Linked DNA regions of Stegostoma tigrinum. The protein of the gene in region 1 purifies or fractionates together with the protein of each later gene. This does not show direct contact. Links are inferred from orthologs where the notes say so. Each region holds a gene or a part of one and is shown in the gene's direction. Other genes may lie near its edges.

Region 1 (7,830 bases):
CCCATACTCTCCTGTTCATCTATCTTCTCCTCTTTCCATTTGCAATCTGTCTCTCCCTCTCTCCCTATTTATTTCAGAACCCTCTCCCCATCCCCCTTTTCTGATGAAGGGTCTAGGCCCGAAACATCAGCTTTTGTGCTCCTAAGATGCTGCTTGGCCTGCTGTGTTCATCCAGCTCCACACTTTGTTATCTCGGATTCTCCAGCATCTGTAGTTCCCATTATCTCCTATCTGACTAGAGTTTTTTTGAGAACATTTCAATCAGGGTAGATTGAGGCAAACACTTTTCAGGTTTAAACCCCATCTGCCACTTCTCAGCCCAACTCTGCATCCTATCAGTGTCCTTTTGTAACCTAGAGCAGCCCTCCGCATTATCCACAATTCGACTCACCTTCATATCATCTGCAAGCTTACTAGTCCACCCTTCCACTCCTACATCCAAATCATTTACAAAAATCACAAATAGAAGGAGGACCCAGAACAGATCCTATAACAGTCCTATATCACCCAGGCCTGTCAACTATACTTCAACACAGGTCACATGACCCCTTCATGTTTACCCATACTTAAACATAACGCCCCAAAACATTGTGATCTTGTAAATGTCCTAATTGATTTGCTTTAACTCCTGAGCATCTTTCTTTAACCTATTTGAAGTTATGAACAATTCTTTTAATGAAAACCAGAAGAACTGCAAATGCTGTAAATCAGGAGCAAAAACAGTTATGAAGGGTCTAGGCCTGAAACGTCAGCTTTTGTGCTCCTGAGATGCTGCTTGGCCTGCTGTGTTCATCCAGCTTCACACTTTATTATCTTGCTGGAAAAGCTCAGCAGGTCTGGCAACATCTGTGAAGGAGAAAACAGAGTTAACGTTTCAGGTCCGGTGGCCCTTCCTCAGAACTCCCTCAGTTCCGAGGGAGGGTCAGCAGACCGAAAAGGTTAACTGTTTTCTCCTTCACAGATGCTGCCAGACCTGCTGAGCTTTTCCAGCAACTTTGTTTTTGTTCTTGAATTATTTGAATGACTTTGTACCAAAGAATCAAGTGCTATATACCATTGATGTTTTTTAGGTAACAATTCTAAAATATTTAGAAGTGATCGAGTTCCAAGGAAGAGTCATATCAAACTTAAAATGTTGACTCTGTTTCTCTCTCCACAGATGCTATCAGGCCTGCTGAATTTATCTAGAGCTTTCGTTTTGATTTTAGATCTTCAGCATCTGTAGTAGTTTGTTTGAATTTTACAGAAGCAGCTAATACCTAAAGGCAGAAATCAGCCCATCCTCTTGTAGCTCTGTTTCTGTTACAGATTTGTTTTAACCACTGATGGGATTCACTTACTTGAGACAAGTTTGTAAGTGCCGCTCCAGCAAAAGTGAACTTAATAATTCTCCAACAATGAAACAACAATGCTGTAAAATATCACTTTCAAAACCAGACTCTCAATATGTTTTCATCAGACCTTTTCATTCTTCTGTAATTTCATAATAACCCCTTGAAAAATGGCTTAATGGCTAGTTTTAACCATTTGTGCTTTCGCCCCAGATGTCCTGTGCAAGGATACCATTTAAAATGGAGTACTCCATTTTAAGTTTTCAGAACTTTTTTGAGTTCAATAATTTTAGGGCCTAAACTCTCCCGTGTCCCAGCCCCTATGCCAACACACCAAGCCTTGTTACCACACAGCCGTCCATTACATACTACCTGTTATTGGTCACTAATAGTCCCCATTAACAACTATTCACCCTCCCAGACTGATCATTTTCACCTTTGTCTGTCCAACTGGTCTTTTCTCTCTTCCTATTGTTCACTCTCTACCCCATCCCTCTCCCCTTTATTCTGCATATAAACTGACATTTTCCCAGCCACCGTCAGTTCTGAGGAAGGGTCACCGGATCCGAAACATTAACTCTAATTTTCCTTCACAGATGCTGCCAGACCTGCTGAACTTTACTAGCAACTTTGTTTTTGTCCTGTGTTTTACACCATTTTAATACATTACTGAACTGAGTTATGACAAATTTATATAATGCATACCAATGAGCAAATGGCCCCGCAACCTGTGCTGATAGATAATCCTTGAACTGTGAATCACCTAAAATTGCTTAGTGAAAGCAATGCCTCCCACTTACAAGGAATTTCATAACATCACTGGATTTGCACATTAAAGTCAGGACAGTTTAGCCGAACTCGTCCTCACCCTCAACAACTTCTCTTTCAATTCCTCCCACTTTCTATAGACAAAGGGGGTGGCCAAGGGTGCCCACATGAGACCAAGCTATGCCTGCCTCTTTGCAGGATACATGGAACAATCTCTCTTCCGTACCTACACTGGCCCTAATCCCTCTCTCTTCCTCTGTTACATTTATGACAATTGGCGGCACGTCGTGCTCCCGTGAGTTCATCCACTTCACCAACACCTTCCACCCCAACCTTAAGATCACTTGGACCATCTCTAATACCTCTCTCTCCCCATCTCCAGCAACCACCTAGAAACCGATATCCATTTCAAGCCTACCGACTCCCACAGATATCTAGAATACACCTCCTCCAACCCACCTTTCTGCAAAAAATGCCATCCTCTATTCCCAATTCCTTCGCCTCCGCTGCATCTGCTCCCAGGATGAGGCATTCCACTCCCATACATCTCAAATGACCTCGTTTTTCAAGGACTGCAGCTTCCCCCCTGTCAGTGGTCGAGAACGCCCTTGACCGTGTCTCCCGCATTTCCCACAACTCATCCGTCACACCCCTCCTCACAATAAAAAACAAAACAGAATCCCCCTCGTCCTTACATACCACTACACCAACCACCGGATCCAACGCATCATCCTCCGACACTTCTGCCATCTGCAATCCAACCCAGACATTTTTCCCTCCCAGCCCTTATCTGCCTTCTGGAAGGACCACTCTCTCTGTGAATCCCTTGTCTGCTCCACATTCCCCTCCAGCTCCACCACACCCGACACATTTCCCTGCAACCGCTAGAATTGCTACACCTGCCGCCACACCTCACCCCCATCCCAGGCCCCAAGATGACTTTCCACCTGAAGCAGATGTTCATCTGCACATCTGCCAATGTGGTATACTGCATTCGCTGTTCCAGTTGTGGCCTCCTCTACATTGGGGAAACCAAGTGGAGACTTGGGGACTGCTTTGCAGAACACCTATGCTTGGTTTGCACTAAACAACTGCACCTCCCAGTTGTGAACCATTTCAACTTCCCATCCCATTCCGCAGACGACATGTCCATCCTGGGCCTCCTGCAGTGCCACGACGATGCCACCCAAAGGTTGCAGGAACAGCAACTCATATTCTGCTTGGGAACCCTGCAGCCCAGTGGTATCAATGTGGACTTCACAAGCTTCAAGATCTTTCCTCCCCCTACCGCATCCCAAAACCAGCCCAGTTCTACCAGCCTTCTTAACTTGTCCTTCCTCCCACCTATCCCCCCGCCCACCTCCATCCCCATCCCCATCCCCATCTCCTACTTACTCACCTCATCCCACCCCCTTGACCTGTCCGTCCTCCCTGGACTGACCTGTTTCGTCCCTCCCTCCCCACCTACATTCACCCTGACTGGTCTATCCCCACCTCTTTGACCAGTCTGTCTCCTCTCCACCTATCTTCCCCTCTATCCATTTTCTGTCCGCCTCCCCCTCGCTCCTTATTTATTTCAGAACCCCCTTCCCCATTTCTGAAGAAGGGTCTAGGCCTGGAAGGTCAGCTTTCCTGCTCCTGTGAGGCTGCTTGGCCAGATGTGTTCATCCAGCTCTATACCTTGTTCTCATAGAAAGACAAATGTACCATTTTAGTGATTGCCAATCAACCTCTACGACTTGGAAATTAACAATAAAATATTTTGATCCTCATTACTCAGGAATTTTTCCAATTGCTGTTGTTTTTAAAATAGTCTAAAATATCTTATATTTCCCATCTGCCTGTCATTTCTGTCTGTCCATCCAGTTTTCCTTTCTTCTGGATTTCTCTTTTCCAGGGACACAACATTTTTTCCTCAGTGCGGCCAATTGAATATTTACAAGCAAAGCCTGTTAAGGGCAATGCTAACATCAAAAAGTGAGGGGGTGAGTGTTTTGGGATGGGGAAAGAGGACTAAATCAAAATCGAATTGGAGGGGGAAATAATGTACTATATTTCCTGTGGTGCATGGATTCCTCTTTCTGTACCTGATTTGACATTGAATTCAGCTGGTTCAGACTTCCTGTTTATTCCTCAATCCTTTAATCCTATTTATTATAGTGATACATTATTGGCCCCTCAGTCATCAAGTTCCCAGATTACCTGTCGCCACAACTTTGGACCTAACACCTTAGGGCAGAAATGAAGCAGTTGTGTTGAAGAGGGATAGTGTGAGGCAAAATGGTGGATAGATCTTTAAGAGGAGTGGGGGTTGGGTATTTGTGGAGAGATTAGTGCTCGGTTGGGGTGCGACCAGGAGAGGATGCAAAAGATGGTGGGATGCATGAGGAGATTACTAGGTTAGGAAACTGGATAAGAGGTGAATGGCATAAAGAAACTGGAGGAGAATGGGAAGGTGGGGGAGCAGGAGACAGCAAAATGGATGGCTGTTGGTTGGTGTAGACCGGAAGGGAGAGACACGGGCGGGCGTGGGGCGGGTGGGTTTTAGAGACCGAAAAAAGGTGGGAATGGAGGGTCTGAAAGTCTAGAAGAAGTAGTAGGAAGGGAGGAGTTGAGAGAACAGAAAAACGGATGGAAACAGGACAAGAAGCCTGGGGGAAGGGTTAAGAGAGAGGGAGTATTGAAGGGGAGAGGATTAGCACTGAAGATGGGGTGGCAGTGGCCTGAAGTGATTTGGAACTGGCGGTGATTGACCCGGGGTAGTCCGGCGGAGGGCGGTTATGCCACAACCCCCCCGCCCCCCCGTTTCTGGCGCTCACATTCCAGCATGCTGAGACAACGACTGGCAGTAAACGAGTGCAGGCCGCCCAAAAGGGGAGGGACCAGGGGAGGAAACGGGGAAAAAAAAGCCGAGTGCTTTCCAGAAAGGTCTCGGCCTGAACGATGCACCTTTTATGCGGAGAAATCTCCCGTCTTTAGTGGAGCGGCGCTGACGTAATGGGGATCAAGTTAGGCCTGAGTGTCGCAGTTGCAATTAGAGCGGCCGGCGGGAGGGTGTGAACGAGGTGTCGGAGCCTGTGTCCAATCTCCTCGTATCCGCGGCTTTAGGCTGTACCGGGAGCTGGTGATGACAGCCGCTATTTTTAACTACCATCATCAGCCCGAGGCCGCTATAAAAGGGGCCGCAGCTGCGACATGCACTATTACAGCAGCGTCTTAACGCACTATCCCGGCACCGCCTTCAAAGTCTCCATTCCAGCGGCGGAGAAAGCGCCTGTCGAGGGCCCGAGTTTCGGAGTGAAGACTGAGCCCACCGCCGCCTCTTCCTCTGCCGCCTCCTCCTCCTCCTCTACCACCACCGCCGCCATGCCCGCCTTCTCGTCATGCGAACTGCTGCCCCCGGGCCCGGCTCCGTCTCCGGCCTCGCTCCTCTATACTTCCACCGCCAGGATTCCCCTGCGGCCTCTCGAGAGGATGGTGCCGATCCAGATCTTGAGCGACAGAACGCAGGCCGAGCCCCCGGTGCCGGGCCATCAGGGACGGGGTGTCTGGACCGAGGACATCCTGACGGAAGGATCGCGGAAGGCTTCAGCCCGGATCCTGGGCGATGGCCAGCAAGAGCGGGCAGTGACGGACTTACAGCCCGCCTCGGAAGGGCCGGAGACCGCCTTCAACCCGCCGGATGGTGACAGCACCGAGCGGGAGTACCAGGACTGGGTCGGGCCGGGTCCCGAGTCCCGGGCTACGGAGGCGGCTGAACAGAGCAGCAGCAGTGCCTGGGAATTCGACGGTGGCTTCAGGACCGTGGACCTGGTGGTGGAGAACAAGGCGGACAGAAACGACAAAGTGGCTCGTTACCTGGCAGAAGTGGAGAAGCAAAATAGTTACCTGCGGGAGCGACAAAAATACCGGTTCCATATTATTCCAGACGGCAACTGTTTGTACAGGGCCGTCAGTAAAGCTGTATACGGTGACCAGAACATGCACAAGGAACTGAGAGAAGAAACTGTCCATCACATCGCAGATCACTTGGACGAGTTTAACCCCATCATCGAAGGGGACATTGGGGAGTTTTTAATCAACGCTGCCCAGGATGGAGCCTGGGCTGGTTACCCAGAGCTGCTTACTATGAGTCAAATGCTGAACATTAACATATACTTGACCACAGGGGGTAGCCTGGAAAGCCCAACAGTTTCCACTATGGTGCATTGTCTTGGCCCAGAAGATCAATCAAAATCCAGCATATGGCTGAGTTGGTTGAGCAATGGACACTACGACGCTGTGTTTGATCAGTCTCTACCTAATCCAGAGTATGAAACCTGGTGCACAAAAACACATGTTCAGAGGAAACGAGATGAAGAATTAGCAAAGTCCATGGCAGCTTCTCTTTCAAAAATGTACATTGAGCAAAATGGCTGTTTTTAAATGACTTTCCTCCCAAGCAGTACTATTCATAAACATTTCAGATCAGGACCTAAGATTCCCTGCATAAGCTGATGAAACTGATATGAGCAAGGCTAGTAAGAAGTACAAATGTAAAGATTGTTAATATGGTTTTTATTTATTTATATGCTTACACATTGATTGGGCTAACAGCACTTTAAAATGGATCATAAAATCAACTCTAAGTAATGCCTTAATTAAATGTGTGAATACCTAGATGTTTTACCAAATGTTTGAGCTCAAACTAATGAAGGTTGCGGGGCACCTGAATTTTTAAATCAGGCTTATTGCAGATAAGAGACCATAGGATTGAATGGGACTGCATTGTCTCATTAAGCATGTGTTTTTTTTAATTAAAATCTTAATCTTCTGATGTTTGGAAAGCAACTGATGTTTAATCTCTGCTTTGGAGAGTTTTTATTCTGAATGGGGTTTTTTTAAAGATGTTTTATTGCAATTTTTTGCAATTGCTGGTTTGTTATTGTCATATCTCCTTCATTACGTTCTTGTATTTGGTATTCTGGCAGGTAGCTAATTGCCACCTTGATTTTTCTAATTGGTTAGAATAGAGATTTTAGATCTTTTAAAGTTTAGCTACAATTACTAACGTTATTACTGTCTGTTTCTTGCCATTTCACTGACTTTTATACGCTGTCCAAGATGTATTGACATCCAAAAGTGGTTTGCAGGGTCAAACTTGTAACCAGTTTGCAATTACTGTATTTGTATTGATTGTGAAGTTATTAATCAACATGGAATGAATTAAAACTATATAACATTTCACAAACAGCTGTCAGAGACTAAATGTTTCATACTCCTGTTCTTAACAGAAGCAGAGGGCCTTGATTATGACACTCCAGTAAAATATCACTTTAATATTCTGCAAAGCTCAATCTATATGTGTGTACCGAGTTTAAACTCTCTCTAATTAAACCTCAAGTTTCAATGCCAATAAAAGTTGGTAATTAGATTATTCAAACCAGAAGACGTTTTTAAAAATTGGATGATATTTTTGAACAGGCTACACTAATTATTAATAAATCTAAAGAATGGAGGAGAAACCTTCAGCTTGGTTACTCTGAGCATCTCTACCACATGGACCAGCTACCGATTTTAAAAATTGGTGGGGTAATTTTTCTGCATATTGTGTAGTGCATGAAACTATTAAATCAACACTTCAACTACCAGCTGGTAACTACTGTACAAAACCCAGTACATAAAGTGCAACATTTATAAAGTATACTGTAGTCTGAATGCACTCAATGTCATGTACTTTGCCATTAACTTA
Region 2 (7,855 bases), on another chromosome or scaffold:
GAATTGAGTTGTGGGATTAATTTGGGATTGATACAGGTCATAGAGAGAGAAAGAGATCGGTTTGGGACTAATTTTGAGCTGGAGAAAGTAAGTGGGCTTGGAGGTTTTTACTTGGGTTTCATATCGAGTTTTGGGAAGTGAATGCAGCATTCAGATTAGTTTTTCCAGTGTTATAGGGAAAGAGCGGGTCAATCGAATTAGTTTGTGACTGATACAGGTCTATGGGAAGAAAGTGGAGTGGAATTAGTTGGAATTGATACAGAACTATAGGAGGTAGTGACATTAGATTGGGACTGATAGAAGGCTCTGGGGCAGAGTGTAGATCAGTGGTACTATTTTGGGATGGATATGGGGCTATGGTGAGAGCATGTGACAGGGAGTTTGGGATAGAGTCAGGCCTACCTGAGAGTGTAAGGCAGGGAGTTTGAGGTATGGTTACAGGGAGACAGGTAACAGGATAGTTTGGATGGATATGGGGCTATGGGGAGAACATGTGGTAAAGTTTGGGATTGACATAGAACTACAGGGAGAGAGCATATATTGGAATATGTCTGGGATTGTTTTAATGAGCTAACTCAGATGCATTGAGCTAAGTGGTCTTGTTCTATGCTGTGAATTTCCCTAACACTGTGTGGTTTGAAAGTCTAAGCTTTTTGATTCCCAATGAAACAGAGAAGAGATACCCAATCCTATTAAATAGCCTGTTTTGTTCATTAGGAGTTCTGTTTTGTTTTCAGAAACCTAAACTTAAAGAAAGCTTGAAATGTGAAGATAGAGAGTTAACCCCAAATTCTATGCGGACAACAACAGTTTGAACTTATATTGCCTTGGACACAGTTAAATATCTAAAGGTACTTTGCAGCAGGCTTAGCAGACAAATACTTGAGAATGAGTCACATGAAGAACAATTTAGGAAGATGACTAAAAGCTAACTTTCAAAGAGTGTATTAAGGACAGGGAAGTGGAGAGATGCAGAGGTTTAGGGAGAGAATTCCAAAGCCTTGGTCTGAGACTGAAGGCACAGTCACCATTGGTAGACTGATGGAAACGGGGGCTGTGTGTGAGACCAGATTTAGAGAAAGGGAGAGCACACGGAGAGTTGTAGATCTGAAGGAGAAAACAGAGAGACCATAATCATTCTTTGCTGTCTGATGACTGACTCACCCAGCTACTGTCTATTTGTCAGTAAAAATGCTCTGTGAATATTCTTGCAAATAATTTCATTGATCATCAAGTAAGAAATATCATTTTTTGTAAAATATTGTAAAATGAGACTCTGTATTGTACCAGTGTGTATAGTTAATGCTGTCCTTGTCACTCAAACATTGGCATACTGCTAACTGCTCTGAGTGTAGATTGGAGTGAAAGAGAAACAAGGAGACTGAGTGGTGGCCCAGCACTGAATTGCCTTCCTTTCAAATCTGTGTTTTCCTTTTCCTCTGGTTTGAACTCTGGTATGGGCTTTATACCATGTTTTTGCCTCTCTTGGCCAGTTGAGTTCTGTAGTCTCTCCTTTGTTGCTTCACTGAGACCATGCTTTCAATTACAAATAAAAATTTGTACGCTGCATTTGTGAGAAAAATTTCCTGGCAGTCAAGCACCTCAAAAAAGATGAGGCCACGAAGAGTCCTGGGCTCCACTAGGGATGGGGTCTGGGGGAAATCTGACCCCTGTCCTGCCCCCAACATGGGGGAGACTTGTTACCACATCCCCACAAATGTACCTTCACTCCTGAGATGAGGGTCTCAGCAAGTCGTGACCAACCCTAGAGATGGTTTCTGGGGAGTCCAGCACTCCTCCTTCCCAAACCACTTCTAATTTCTCAAAATGGGATTCCTGGGCATCCTTGTCTCCTTAAACCCCTCCCTCTTCCCCACCCAGAAATGGTGAAATGATGTACTGGGCAATCCTGGGTCCTCAGCAATGTCTGCCTGCGATACTTCCCATGTTGTCAAATAATATTCTTTGTTCATTTATTGCTGGGGCTGTAATCGGTGGAATGTATTTTGCTTATCAATGGTTTACTATTAAATATATATTTCAAAGTGATACATTTTCAAAATATTCGTGTTTTTTTTTGACAAATCGTGACGAAAAACAATTAAGCCACTCATTAGCCCTATCCTTTATAGTAATAAGAAATGAATTTGAAATTCACCCTCTAATGCACATGAGTGATGACAAGACAATCACACAGATAATATCAAGGTATTTCACCCTGATGTCAGGAAATTTACCCCAACAATATCAGGGGAGTCAGCCTGCCACCAACAACATTTTCACTCTGAAAGTCCAACGCAGGGGAGAAAAAGAAAGCAGTATGAGTGAGAATGAGAGATCAGAGCCTCATTTGGATATTAGTCTAAGTAAAAAGAATTAGCTGGCTTGGAAATGTAGCATTTAATTGGGTCTGTCACTGGATATGTGGTTTAGGCACTGATCGGGAGCCAGAGGGGCAAAGGCGATGACTGGATATCTCAACATTGGTCTATGAGGAATGTCACACACAGCTCACACAACTAATTCAGAGGCTGACTGACCAGTGAGGCACCTTTAAGATATGGAGAAAAACAGATTTAATTACTTTCATGCAGCGTCCCTGAAGCTTTCAATAGTGAGTTGCTACATTGCTGAGTGATGATGCCTGGCCCCTGGCAATGATGCCTCATGCTATATTCGATCAATGAGAACATGTGTACAGCTATTCCTGGGAAGGGGCAGGAATAAATGTATAAAAATGAACTTCTGTCATTCTAACACTGACCCTAGGATATTCAGAAATAGCAGCTGAGCTCAGTAAGGCTGGGACTGCTCTCCGGTAACTCCTACTCACTTTCTGTTTCTGGAATCCAGTCGTTTTTAGGAGTGGGAGGATAGGGGTACAAATGGAATTGGGGGGTGCACAGTGGCTGATGTGAAAGACAAAAATGTATTAATGCAGTGAATGCAGTTGGGAAAGGAGAGGGTATTTACCCAACCTCTAGACAGTTGGCACATTGAATACACCGACAGGGATTCCCCCACCACACCGCCCCCCCCCCCCCACCCTGTCATTGCTTACACTGGGAAGGATGCAGGTTAACCCAGACTGGTGAGTTCACAGAATTGTAACATGACAGGAGTGACATGCCTGTCCTGACTCTCTGAACAATGCACCTAGTGCCATTTCCTGCATTTTTGTGATAACCCTGCACAAGTTCTCTTTTCAAGTAAAAACCCAACATACTATTGAGTGCATCAATCCACCACGTTCTCAGGCAGCGCATGCCAGATCTTAACCACTTGCTGCATTCCACATCTTCTCCCCATGTTTCCTTTGATTATTTTGCCAATTACCTTAAATTATATCTTTCAGTCTTGATTGTTCAACCAGTAGAAACACCTTTTCCTACCTGGTTAACTCCACGTAGACCCCTCAGGATTTTGAATACTTCAATCGAGTTTCATCTCAAGCTTCAAGGTGAACAGTTCCCAATTTCTCCAGCATACCTATGTAGCTGAAGTTCCTCATCTGTGGAACCAATCATAAGCATATTTTTGCACTCTTATTAAAGCCTTCACAAATTTTCTAAAGTGGGGTACCTAAAATGGAATTGAACAGTACTCAAGTTGGGGCTGAGACAGTGTTTAATGCAGGTTTAAGATAACCTTGCTGTTGGACTCTACACCAGCACTACTCAAGCCTAGGATACTGTATGCCTTGTTAATTGATCTCAACGTGGTCTGCCACTTTTGATTACTTATACCCCTAATTCCTTCCATTCTTGCATCCCCTTTGGAGTAGTACCCTTATATTTTGCATTCTTCCAAAATGAATCTCCTCACTCTTCTCCACATTGAATTTCAGCTGCTACATATCTGCTCACATCACCAACTTATCTACATTCTTTGCAGTTTCACATTGTCCTCCTCACAATTTAGAAAACTTGGAGCGAATCTATCAGCCACAAGTTTCAAAATTCTGTTCTGAACCACATAATGAATATAGATCAGGTAAAACAAGGCTCTCAACACTGACCCACTATAAACCCTTCTCAGAAAAAACTTCATCAAACACTAAATTTGAAGTATTGCAGATGCTGGATATCTGAAATAAAAACAGAAAGTACTAGAGAAGCTCAGCAGATCTCCCAGACTCTGTGGAGGGAAAAGCGGAGTGAATGTTTTGACTCCGCTGAGTTCTAAGTCAATGGATTCAAAATGTGAACTGCTTTCTCCGTGGACGCTGCCAGACCTGCTGAGTTCTTCCAGTATTTTCTGATTTTTTATTCCATTAGCCACTACTCTCTGTATTCTGTCACTCGGCCAACTTCCTATCCACTTGCTACTGTGCCTTTTAAATCGGAGGTCTAACTTTGCTCACAAGTCTCTCCATGCAGCACGGTATCAAATGCCTTTTGGAAGTCCATGTTATTGACACCAACAGCATTACCTCTCGGTGTTATCCCTTTCGGAGGGATGGGGGTGGAAAGTGGGGGAAGCCAGCAAGTTGGTTCAACATGATTTGCTCCAGTTAGCTCATTGAATGGTGGCGAGAGGAGACAGGTCAGACCCTGGGTGGAGTTAAACTGAGCTCTAGAGTTAACCCATTGAATGGAGAATGCACCCAGAGTGGGGTTCAACTCAGGCTGTTATTAACCCATTGAGTGGAGAGAGGAGGCTGGGTTAACCCATTGCTATCCTCGATGCTTTGAGGTGCTAACGGAAGGCTGCAGTCAGCGGCTATGACGAGCAGCATGACCTGGCTCTGGAGTTTTTATACGGCCATGGCCTCGGGATTCCTGGCGAGCCTGCTCTCTGACGTGGGCCCGGAGCAGCCGTCACTCATTAAAAAGTGCGGCGGGGCCACCAGCGCGGCCATTCGGCGGCTGGTAGCCGGGCGGAGAGGGTGGAAGTGAGAAAGAGAGAGGACCGGAACCGGGAGTGAGCAGGAGGGGGGAGTTACCGCGGCGAGACCCACTCTGTAGAGTCCGGAGAAGAAGTTTCCCGGAGGCGGACGATGGAGCAGCAAGAGGCGGCGGCCAATGGCCAGGAGGACGGGGAGATGCCGGCTACTGAGAAAGACCTGGCGGAGGACGCTCCTTGGAAGAAGATCCAGCAGAACACGTTCACCCGCTGGTGTAACGAGCACCTCAAGTGTGTGAACAAGAGGATCGGGGACCTGCAGAAGGACCTGAGCGATGGCCTGAAGTTGATCGGATTGTTGGAGGTGCTCAGCCAGAAGAAGATGTACAGGAAGTACCACTCGCGGCCCAACTTTCGCCAGATGAAGCTGGAGAATGTGTCTGTGGCGCTGGAGTTCCTGGAAAGAGAGAGGATTAAACTGGTCTCCATCGGTAAGAACAACTCCTTCCCCCTCCCTTTTCCCCTTTATTCCCCCTCCCTTTTCCCCTTTATTCCCCCTCCCTTTTCCCCTTTATTCCCCCTCCCTTTTCCCCTTTATTCCCCCTCCCTTTTCCCCTTTATTCCCCCTCCCTTTTCCCCTTTATTCCCCCTCCCTTTTCCCCTTTATTCCCCCTCCCTTTTCCCCTTTATTCCCCCTCCCGCCTTTTCTCCCCCTTCCTTCCCCCGCCCCCCGCCTTTTCTCCCGTTCCCTGCTTCTTCCCCCCGGGAAGGGCAGTCCCGGGTGAGGCGGGGGGGGGGGGGGTGTAATTCCAGTCCCAGTCCCCTCTTTCCCCGCCTCTGGCTCGGCTCCTCACTGAGATCCACCGCTATTGAGTTTTAAACCCATGGGCTAGTTTTCCTTTTTTCTTCCGACAATAAAATATATTATTGTAAAGACGTTTAAAATTCACATGTTTTTTTTTGCCAAGAGCGTCAGTAAGCCGCGCTCGCCAGCCTCTGGAAGGAGCGGCGGCATGGTTAATGCTGAACTTCTCCCGAAGTGACGGCGAGCTTGTTGGAGAGCGGGTTGTTATTTCTCGGTCACTGAGGCTTGTGGAAGCAAATTCAATTATTTTAAGGTTCCGCAGGAAAGCGAATGGTTTGTGTGGGAAAGTTAGGTGCCTCACAAGGAAACACCAACAAAGTGTGATTTATGTGGGTAGTTTTTTGTAAAAGCTCGTACAGTCACGATGGACCAAATAGCCGTCGGCGCTACGATTCTGTGAATATTACGCTGACTTGAAGTCTAACTTTTCTATTTTATACAGAACCTTGTCACATATCTCAATATGGCCCAGCGGTGCTGGAGCTGCAACTAATTCTTGGCAGTGACTTATAGGTGAAGGGAACAGCTATTAAACCCGCAGCAAGATTCCCACAAATGGCAATGAGATGATTCTCTTCAACACTGAGTCAGAAAGTGTGTCTGAGTCTGACTGCAGAGGCCTGAGCCCAAACTCCAAACTGACCCACTTGGGAGTGTGCTGTATGCTGCCCTGCCCTGGTGTGGGTGCTGTCTTTCAGATCAGACCCTGTCTATGCACTTGGATGGATGTAAAAGCTCATATGCTGCTATGTATGGGAAGAAGAGCATAGCCTGACTAATATTTATAAATAAGGCAGAGTCTGGTTACTGCTGTCTATGGAATCTTGCTGTGTAAATTCCTGCAGTATTTCTGAATAAATGGGACTATACAGCAGAAGGAATTAATTAATATGAAGTGAGTTGGGCTGCACTGAAGATGTGAGGACAGTGATTAGAAATGCAAGTCTTTCAGTATTTGTGACATTGGTAGAGGGAAAAATGTTAACCATGACACTGGAAGAATTTCTTAACCTTCACTCATTGGGTTTTGTGCACCCAAGCTGAACCATGGGCCCCTGGCTAACATTTCAGTTGAAGGACCAGTACAGCTCAGTACAATACTATCATCTGAGATCATTGGTTTAAGTGTATGAGTGACAGGGTGTGAGTGTCCTGCAGTTGTTAATTTTAACAGGTGCAGAAGTAGAGATTTGTAGAAATTGGCACAGCCTCTGTGATCACAGGAGCTTCTGTTAGTTGGGGGGGGGGGGAGGAAGAAGTTCCTAATTTCTGGCATTGATTGGTGGCTGAAACAGATTAGGACAGCAGAGCTAAGAACAGTTGACTGAGTGAAATGTCAGATTTCCACATCCCCTTAATCACTAAGGTGCCCACTTCCACCCCTTGTCAGTTTGCCAGTCTCTACCTTGGCTCATCTGCTGCTGGAACCCTCATTCATGGCAGTGTTACCTCTAGAATCAAAGTATTTCCATGATCACTGGGCCAGCCTTCCTTCCTTCCGCTTGCCATACACTGCAGCTTGTCTGAAACTCTGCCTGTGTCCTAACTCACTCTTGCTGCTGCCACTACATGCCCCCCCCCCCCCCCCCCCCCCGACTCAAAAACAAAAATCCCTGTGCTTGCTGATCTCCACTGGCCACTCATCCCACCAAAGTTCTCACCCTTGATTTCAATCCATGGTCTCCTGCAAGCCATCAGAAATCTTTGTACTATTTTAATCCTATAACCATTGGGGAATATGCCTTGAACTATACAAACCCTGGTTGCTGGAATTTTAGCCCTATCTCTTAAGTTACTGCTTCAGACTTTTGGTCATGTGGGCTGAATATTTCCACACTCAGTTCCCTGTTGATTTTTGTAGTAACTTCTCTTGTAAAGTGTCTTATGTTAAATGTGCTGTACAAAAGTAAGTTTGTGCAGCAGTGAACATGGCTGCCTGCCTGCTTGTCAGTTTAATTTGTAACAGTGAAAATGTCAGAATGGTAGTGGGGGGGACTGTTTCTTGCTGCTTGCTGTGAGAGCTCAGAATTAAGCAGGCAGTGTTTTAATTTAGTCAGTGCACTAGATTGTTGGACAAAGTCAGTAACTTCATTGTAGACAAGGTGGAAATTGCCAGGCAGATCAAGCTCTATCAGAAAGCTACAG

Evidence for each region. The genes of interacting proteins can lie anywhere in the genome.
Region 2: the proteins of OTU domain-containing protein 1 (region 1) and flncb purify together in Homo sapiens (affinity purification with mass spectrometry; 3 studies listed by BioGRID and IntAct, with this or other methods). This does not show direct contact. The link is inferred for Stegostoma tigrinum from reciprocal best matches to the Homo sapiens genes OTUD1 and FLNC.

The regions. Positions count from the first base shown.
Region 1 is NC_081355.1:119,876,353-119,884,182, forward strand, and holds OTU domain-containing protein 1, read left to right. Parts: upstream 1-4,898; 5' UTR 4,899-5,294; coding exon 5,295-6,524; 3' UTR 6,525-7,329; downstream 7,330-7,830. UniProt on the Homo sapiens protein: Deubiquitinating enzyme that specifically hydrolyzes 'Lys-63'-linked polyubiquitin to monoubiquitin.
Region 2 is NC_081378.1:21,511,776-21,519,630, reverse strand, and holds the start of flncb (filamin-C), read left to right. Parts: upstream 1-4,837; 5' UTR 4,838-4,999; coding exon 5,000-5,336; intron 5,337-7,855.